Neodiprion lecontei: one gene and its partner. The protein of the gene in region 2 binds, or shares a complex with, the protein of the main gene of each other region. Links are inferred from orthologs where the notes say so. Each region holds a gene or a part of one and is shown on either strand. Other genes may lie near its edges.

Region 1 (3,934 bases), on a different chromosome or scaffold from region 2:
CTACTGAAACATAACAGCCGGCGAATGAATACGCATCTAAGCACTAGGTTAATCTTGAACGCACGTGCACTGCATGATTGCATTATTGCACCAATAATGTATTTTAAGAGCAGATGCGCCTATGTGACTCTTTAATGTGACTGTAATCGCAGCACGTTATAATGAATTACTAGCGGTTACATCACTTACAATTATTATCAAGAGCACGAGGGACTTGGCAAATCATTGGGATTTACCATTTCAGAATTGGGTTAAAGTTCAGTTATTATAAACCGTGAGATATATTATTGTATTCGTATACAAAAAAGTACAAACAGTTATGTCATTTCATGTCACGAACAGATTTTTACGAATATTTTCGATGAAAATAGTATTAACATTTGTTCCTTAGGTCATATCGATTTAGTAACGCCACGTCTAATTATAAATACAAATGAATAAACCTCATTATTTGATCCTTAAAATTTCGATGAAGAGGATCTAGTAAAAAAAGTATACGAATCGACGGAACGTCTTCTATCGGAAGAAACAGAAGCGGGAAGGAGAAATAAAAGTGAGAGGGCGGAGGTCCACGCGTACGTTGACACGGCCCTGCGCTCCGAGGCTAAGAAGGGGGCCCGGTGTTTCTTTCGTAACGTATTTATTCGAACCCTACGATCTACAAAAGGCCTGAGGAGGAGAGGTAACTATCCCTCCCTCGAAATTAAAGTGTTTCCCAAGCCAAGGGTCCGAATGGCTCAACCACGCGAGGCGTCGGGAAACTTGCTCGGGTTACTACAGCGGATTAAATATCGATGATCACGAATACTTCTGGTCTCTCGGCGTCCGGCCGATCGAGTATTTGCATTGCTGAGTAGGTGATAGCCTTTACTTCTGTACCCTGAGGATGCTTTCCCAGCGTGAATTCTTCTCCTATTGCCGTTGCCTTGATCTTGAAGTTCTCTTGATCCATTTCAGTGATCTTGACTTTCTGCCGACAAGAAAAAAAATTCTTGTTCTTATTGTTATTATTATCAAATTTATCTCCTAATCGTAGCTCCTTTCATCGGTGAATATTTGAAAAAAATTGCTGATTGAATATTATATGTATTTTTTTTTTACAAACGTATCTACGTCCATGTTACCCAAGAGACAGATTACAATCTTGACGAATGTAGGTAGTTGTGAATGTAAACTATCTACCGTGGCGAGTCTCAACGTACCTACTAGGCGTCATGTGCAACGTAAAGTGGAGACACATGTTGTACATTTTCAAGTATACTCAAATAACGGCCGGAATGGACTGTGTACAGGGTGTGTCATTGTTCCCTTCCGGTAATACTGCACCGCGTACACATGTTTAGGTATACTTTTGGTGTACGTGTATATTAGGATAGATATATTTATTTTTAACCAAAAAACCGTGCAAAGTAATATCGATTTTGAATCTCGGCATCATTTCTTCCGTCCATTTATATACAAGCGTGGAATCTTTTCCGTTTCGAACAACAATTGTGCGTTTGAAGGTTAGCGAGATATTTGGACGTTCCAAGAACGGCGGTTAGCGACTAAATTCCGGGTAAACAAAATAAACGCACACACTTTGGGAATGATGAAACGCTCTGCACTGAACATAAAAAGCAGTTCATCCAAGAAATGAAATAGCAGGCTGTGGAGGTCGTCTCCCTCGGCTTCCACGTGGTGCACCTCCGTCATTTCTACTCGGTCCAAATCCGTCATGTAACCGAACATGGCCATAGCGCATTGTTCAAATGCCTCCTGCAAACTCTCTCCCCACGCATGCAATCTATAAAATATTAAATTCTTTCTATACTCTAACCTCCTGGGTATTCTTTACAGGTTTTACGCGCATATCTATGCATCATGTACGTCTATGTGCTACAAAATTACCAGAAGTTGTCGCAAAATTTGATGATCGTATCGTTCGTTTGGTTATTCCCAGCAAATTATTTTATCCCGTTATTCGTACTTTTATTTTAATTTTTTTTTTTTTCATCTTCTCAAAACGACCAATTGGGTATACGGAATAATACGAGTATATAGATCGCATTCTATTTCGAATTTTATTTTTTTCGATGACGTAGTGTTGTTACAATGTCGTTTTAACACAAAGTCAAACGTATAAATGGCAGAGAACTATCAGAACAGAATATACCTACTCGGGATTTTTGTACATAGATATGCATACGCGCGGTGATCAATTTTTATTTTTCAACAACTTACTGCACATCAGCCGTGTGGTCCAAATCTGTAACAAAATTTGGAAAATATTGTTTCATAACAGTGATTGCCATGCTCCTAAAATGCGGTAACTTTTCCCTTTTTTTTTTCTTATCTCGCGTAATAGGCGAAAATAATTGCGTGATCGAGATAAGATCGTCCATAATAATTCAAATTTTTAACGGTAGTAAATCTGTGGTTCGTTTTTTCGTAATAATGGTCGGAGAATGAAAATTTTATGCGAAAATATGGGTTTCTGGTAAGTTTTTAGAAACCCGTTCGTTTTCCCGCCAAATCTTGCGTTCGGGTCGGCTGATGTACACTGTGTGCATGTATATATGAGCTCACGCTTGCCGGCCTGATCCGGCGTACAATAATTGTGAAATTACGGGTTGTTGACATGACGTAAAGGAATATGAAAAAGCGTTATACTAATATTCTTACATTCGTATTTGATTGGCGGAATCGCTAGGTCTTCTGCTGATAAATCTTCCATCGTAGCTCTCACAGCTGATTACCCACGTGAAGACGCTAATCAGCTGTTCCTCCGTCTGTTTGCCTGACAGACCAGAGTGGCGAGTCATCAATGGTTATCCAGTTTGAAAATATGAAGTCTCAGGATCAGAGGACGCCACCGTACAGCATCCGTTGGATGCTTGGAGTATTGTTGTGCGGTGCGTGGCAGCACCAAGCGGCACAAATCATCATACCGACGTCTAAACCTCACAACTAACTTCTCATCGTTGCCGTAGTACCATCACACTGCATGGTTGAACCGCGGGCTAATTCGAATTCACACTAAAAGTATGTGGCATAGATTTGGTAAAAAAACTTATTTCACGATATTCGAACTAGGAAATATAATTTATTCAACGCTCTGCTGTAACGAGGATGTTAAAAAATTCTATGTACAAGTTTGAACTTTCGCAAGAAAAATATTCATCATTGTTTTGAAATTGAATTTGTAAAAATTCTGAATGACTTTGAAGGCTGCCGTTACAGTCTCTATATAATCAAAGAATTTACAGGGTTATTTATTCGTTGCTGAACACCAGTGCTATACCAATGTAGAAATGAATATATTCGTGGAGTTTAGATCCTAAGCGCGTTTCAGGATTGGCTGGCGCGCTGTTACGTGTTTCGAACCAGAGCCACACATCGACCGTTGAGTTCCCTAGCTGGCCGGTTATTGGGTGTATTTTATTTGCCACCTTTCGAAGACGAAAGAACTGAGAAACTCACATGATTAGTTAATATTTGAAAATCAGCCAATCAGCAGCTTTCGTTTCCGAATGATGGTCAATGAATCGCTCCCCAACTCACAGCATTGTCGCAGCAGCTATTTCCGTACGCTAGGGAACACAATGATCAACGTGTGTTCAGTGTGGATCTGGTCCGAACCACGTGATACCTGCGCCAACCAATCTTGGGATGCGCTAACGATCTAAACTGCCACGAATCTCTAACTATTTCCACATTGACATATCGCTGGTATTCAGCAAGGAATAAAGGACTCTGTATGAGTGATAACTTTTAATTAACAGTGATAACACTGCTTTCAGTCGTTGTTCTGACGTCTACTTGCTCCAATTCTACGGACATTTTGAGATCCTCGAGTTCGACCTCCGCATGTCTTTTCTTCATTTTAAAGACTCTGGCAAGTTCAGGAAAAGTCTCAAGCGTTTTCAACCGCCTGCACTAAGTATGATTTTCC
Region 2 (3,589 bases):
AACAAGTGTACGTCCAAGGGCTGCAAAATCAAGGAAATCGTCGCGGTCAAATGCGGGGACTGCGGGAAAAACTTTTGCTTGAAACACCGGCATCCCTGCGATCACGCTTGTGTGGGAAAAGAGGAAACCATGCGTCAGCGGAGGGTTGAAGCTCTTAACAAACAGGCCGAGAGTCAAGTCCCACAGAATAATCAAAATGCCAATTCTAGCCTGTTTACGAATCTTCAAGGAACTATCAGCGAGGACGAAGCCTTGGCCAGGGCCTTACAAGCCTCTCTTCAAGATGAAGAAAATACCGGGAGGATCGAGTCTTGTCAAGAGGAAGAGATTCCACTCGGGAACAAAGGCAGATGCAGGCTCTCTTAGTTCTTTTATAATTTATAAACACGATATAACGGTGACGGCAACGAAGAACAGACGTGTTGAAATCCTGGTAGAATTACTTGTCAACTGCTGAAGATGCGTTTTTTTTTTTTTTTTTTTTTTTAAATCTTTTCTAGAATTAGGCATCAAATATCAATTAGTAGGCGGGTTCTTACGAGCTATGGATGATCAAAAAACTGGACGTTTTCAAAATCCTATTCTATAATTGAGCCTATTACGGGAGGAAACTGAATTTCTGTCTTTTTTCACATTAAATTAAGCTTTAGTTTTATAAATCTAAATATATGAGAATTTGAAAGAAATATTGAACTATGTATCTTTCATATAAGCTTTTTTTTCGTCAGTTGCTCTTAAGTCGTTTACATTCACTTTAAATTTTAAATCAAGTCTCCTCAACTATTATACATAAACATATCCTTATTAGTTATTCTATCCAATCATGAATTCTATTTCACCAAGTCTAGTTATAATCGCAATGATGTAACAAATTAAGACTTCTGATCGCTGTCTAGTGATTAATTAATTACGCAATTTTTTGTAAATAATTTAAAAATAATCTATATACACATTGCGAAAAATCACGTTCCAAACTGCCTCTGTACATTCGTCATGATAAATAGTTACTACCAGCTTTATTGTAACACAAAAAAGAAGAAACTGTGTTATGAAACGAGTAAAAAGTTCTTTACTTGCAAATTTTCCTCTACTCTTATCCATACAATAAATATTTATTATAAACATATTGTGAAATCTGAGTTATATTCTTATCCATTAAACTTAGGTTTCAAAGAATTCCTCACATCTAAATTCATTCGATATCAATACAAGCAAGTGAAAAAAGACAATCAACGAATGTAATGCGATTGTATATTATAATTATTTATTAGTTTTGACCTATCGTTACATTCCATTATTCAAATACGCCTAACATATGACGAATCAATTTGTCTATAAATAGCAGTACTTGGTTCATTGTTAGAAATTGATATCAATTATTGTTATCAAACAATATTAGCCAATGAACGTCAGCAAAATTTTTAACATCCCATTCGTGTGTGTAAATGTGCAATGGGAATCGTAATGACTAACTGTTTATCTTCCAACTTTTCCAAGCTTCGTATCAGTCCTTGGATTTGCAGTGATATTTTGAACACTGACAATTGTTTCATTTATTCGTGTTTGAAGGTCCCTCAAATCCTGAATGTACAGCAATCTCAAGATTTTTGCCGCATTATTCAGAACTGGATCTCCCATATTGAATCCCAACTCAGCTTCCAATATCGGAAACTCTTTTCCCTTTAACACTATCGATTTTGGATTTAATAAAGTTTCTGCATTCAGTCTCATGCAAACTATCTTACTGCACGCTTGCAGAGTTACAAGGTGATCTGAATGTCGAGGAATGCAAAGTAGCTTTCGTAATTCTTCAATTCCGTTCTTAAACTCTGCACTGTGAACTTTAATCATCGAAAATAGAATTAAAAAATGTGAATACCGGTATTTGTCATGTTCGTAAGTTCAAAAAGTTTTGTCTGAAATATAATACTCACAGTCCAGATTGTCTAACGGGTTTGATGATTTTATGTTGGGTGCTACCGGTTTATTCATATCTTTCAAACTCTTGCCTGTTATCGGTTGATACTTTTTATCTGCAATAGTTTGAATTGAATGAAACTCAAATTTTCGTAAGTGCCTGAAAATAGAATTCAGTAGTACCCAAACAAACATGGTACGGTTCTTACAGTTATCCTCGAACTCCAGTTTGATGGCAAACCCGATCAACCATTCGAGCTGATCCACGGGCTGGGTAGTTATCGGACAAGCGACGTCCTCGCAATATCTCTTGAACGTTTCGGGCCAACTGGTTGAATTTATATCTCTGATGTCCTTTCGATCTTCAATTTTGTAGTGACGTATCTTTTGGTCTTCGAGCCAGACGACCAGTTTGCGAAAGTGTTGTGGGTCTAAAGACGATATTATTGAAATTTCAGAAAAATTGTTATCGCTCTTGTGAGAGACCGGAGGTTAAATTTTTGTATGTGTACCGGCTAACCGGTTGCGACTCACCATTCGCGTTTATCTTATCCCGGTCTATGTAATCTAGCGCTTTTAATTTTCTCTTAAACATTTTATAAGTGGAAAATTACGCGGTTATAATTTATTTACAATTCTTATTTAACGGCAAGACAAAGTACACCTGAAAGTCAGTGCTATACCGCAATTATCGACGGAGTAAACATTGTAAGGAAGTGAACGCCAAAGAGTATGTGAAGGCATGAAATTCACTCAACACCCCGCGAACGAGTCGATAGTTGGGATCGTGACTTGTTAGAAGTTTTCGACTGTAAAATATGGCGCGTTTTCACGCATGTCCCTGGATACACTTGTGAGTCGTTATTCTAAGGCAATGAATCGAGTTCATGCCAAGGCAGCTGGCAGCAGCGCCCCGATCAACGGTTTCAAACTTTGAAACGAGAAAAGCGTTATTCAACGCCGAAGGCGGTGCAAAAACGGGCAAAACAGCGGGAGCAAGCAACGATAGCGGGAAAAGAGACGGGTGACAGATTTTAATTAGCCGTCAAATAATTCTGATCCGTCAGTGAAAATTGTCGTCGGTTATCGCGGATCGGTTCAACGCTGTCTACGACGTTCCTGTGGTTCTGGAAAGGTAAACATGGTGCGGAAGAGGAAGCACAGCAGCGACGAGAGCGGCATGCCGGCACCCCAACGACAATTCCAACGCCTCACTCGAAAGCGTAAGCAATAAGCATGTCAATATTAACACGCGCCGTTAGATTGCCCTCTCAAATCGGACGGCGAGAAATGGAAAGAGTTCCTCGCCATCCCTAACCAATGGATCGTCTCCGTTAAAATTTCAGATCAGCGGACACTTATCGACGATGACAACGAGAATGCGGAAGCTTTGCCGGCGGCGATGTCGAACACCTCCTCAAAGACTATGAAAACACCGTCAACCGCATCGGGACGCAATCGAAAAAGTACAAATAAACGTCTTACTTTCCTTCAGTGTTTTATCTTGTACAACTGTATCTCATCATATGATTGTCCAACTTTTGATAACAGGGTGACCGAACTTGGCACTGTTGTTTATTTAATCTTGCATTAAAAGGGGAAAGGAAAATCAGTCAATCAGAAATTATCCTCATACAACTTTTGTGATTAAGATCAAAGTATTTTGAAAACA

Evidence for each region.
Region 1: RNA transcription, translation and transport factor protein (region 2) and protein archease-like share a complex: the UniProt entries of both Homo sapiens proteins name them as parts of the tRNA-splicing ligase complex. The link is inferred for Neodiprion lecontei from reciprocal best matches to the Homo sapiens genes RTRAF and ZBTB8OS.

Annotation. Positions count from the first base shown.
Region 1 is NC_060263.1:23,993,414-23,997,347, forward strand, and holds protein archease-like, read right to left. Parts: upstream 2,820-3,934; 5' UTR 2,805-2,819; coding exon 2,665-2,804; intron 2,249-2,664; coding exon of another isoform or gene 2,224-2,248; intron 1,787-2,223; coding exon 1,582-1,786; intron 971-1,581; coding exon 785-970; 3' UTR 263-784; downstream 1-262. UniProt on the Homo sapiens protein: Component of the tRNA-splicing ligase complex required to facilitate the enzymatic turnover of catalytic subunit RTCB. Together with DDX1, acts by facilitating the guanylylation of RTCB, a key intermediate step in tRNA ligation.
Region 2 is NC_060266.1:184,654-188,242, reverse strand, and holds RNA transcription, translation and transport factor protein, read right to left. Parts: upstream 2,636-3,589; 5' UTR 2,513-2,635; coding exon 2,452-2,512; intron 2,349-2,451; coding exon 2,127-2,348; intron 2,034-2,126; coding exon 1,935-2,033; intron 1,842-1,934; coding exon 1,477-1,841; 3' UTR 729-1,476; downstream 1-728. Other genes in the region: AN1-type zinc finger protein 2A, read left to right, coding at 1-366; probable serine/threonine-protein kinase nek3, read left to right, coding at 3,059-3,140, 3,264-3,383. UniProt on the Homo sapiens protein: RNA-binding protein involved in modulation of mRNA transcription by Polymerase II. Component of the tRNA-splicing ligase complex and is required for tRNA ligation.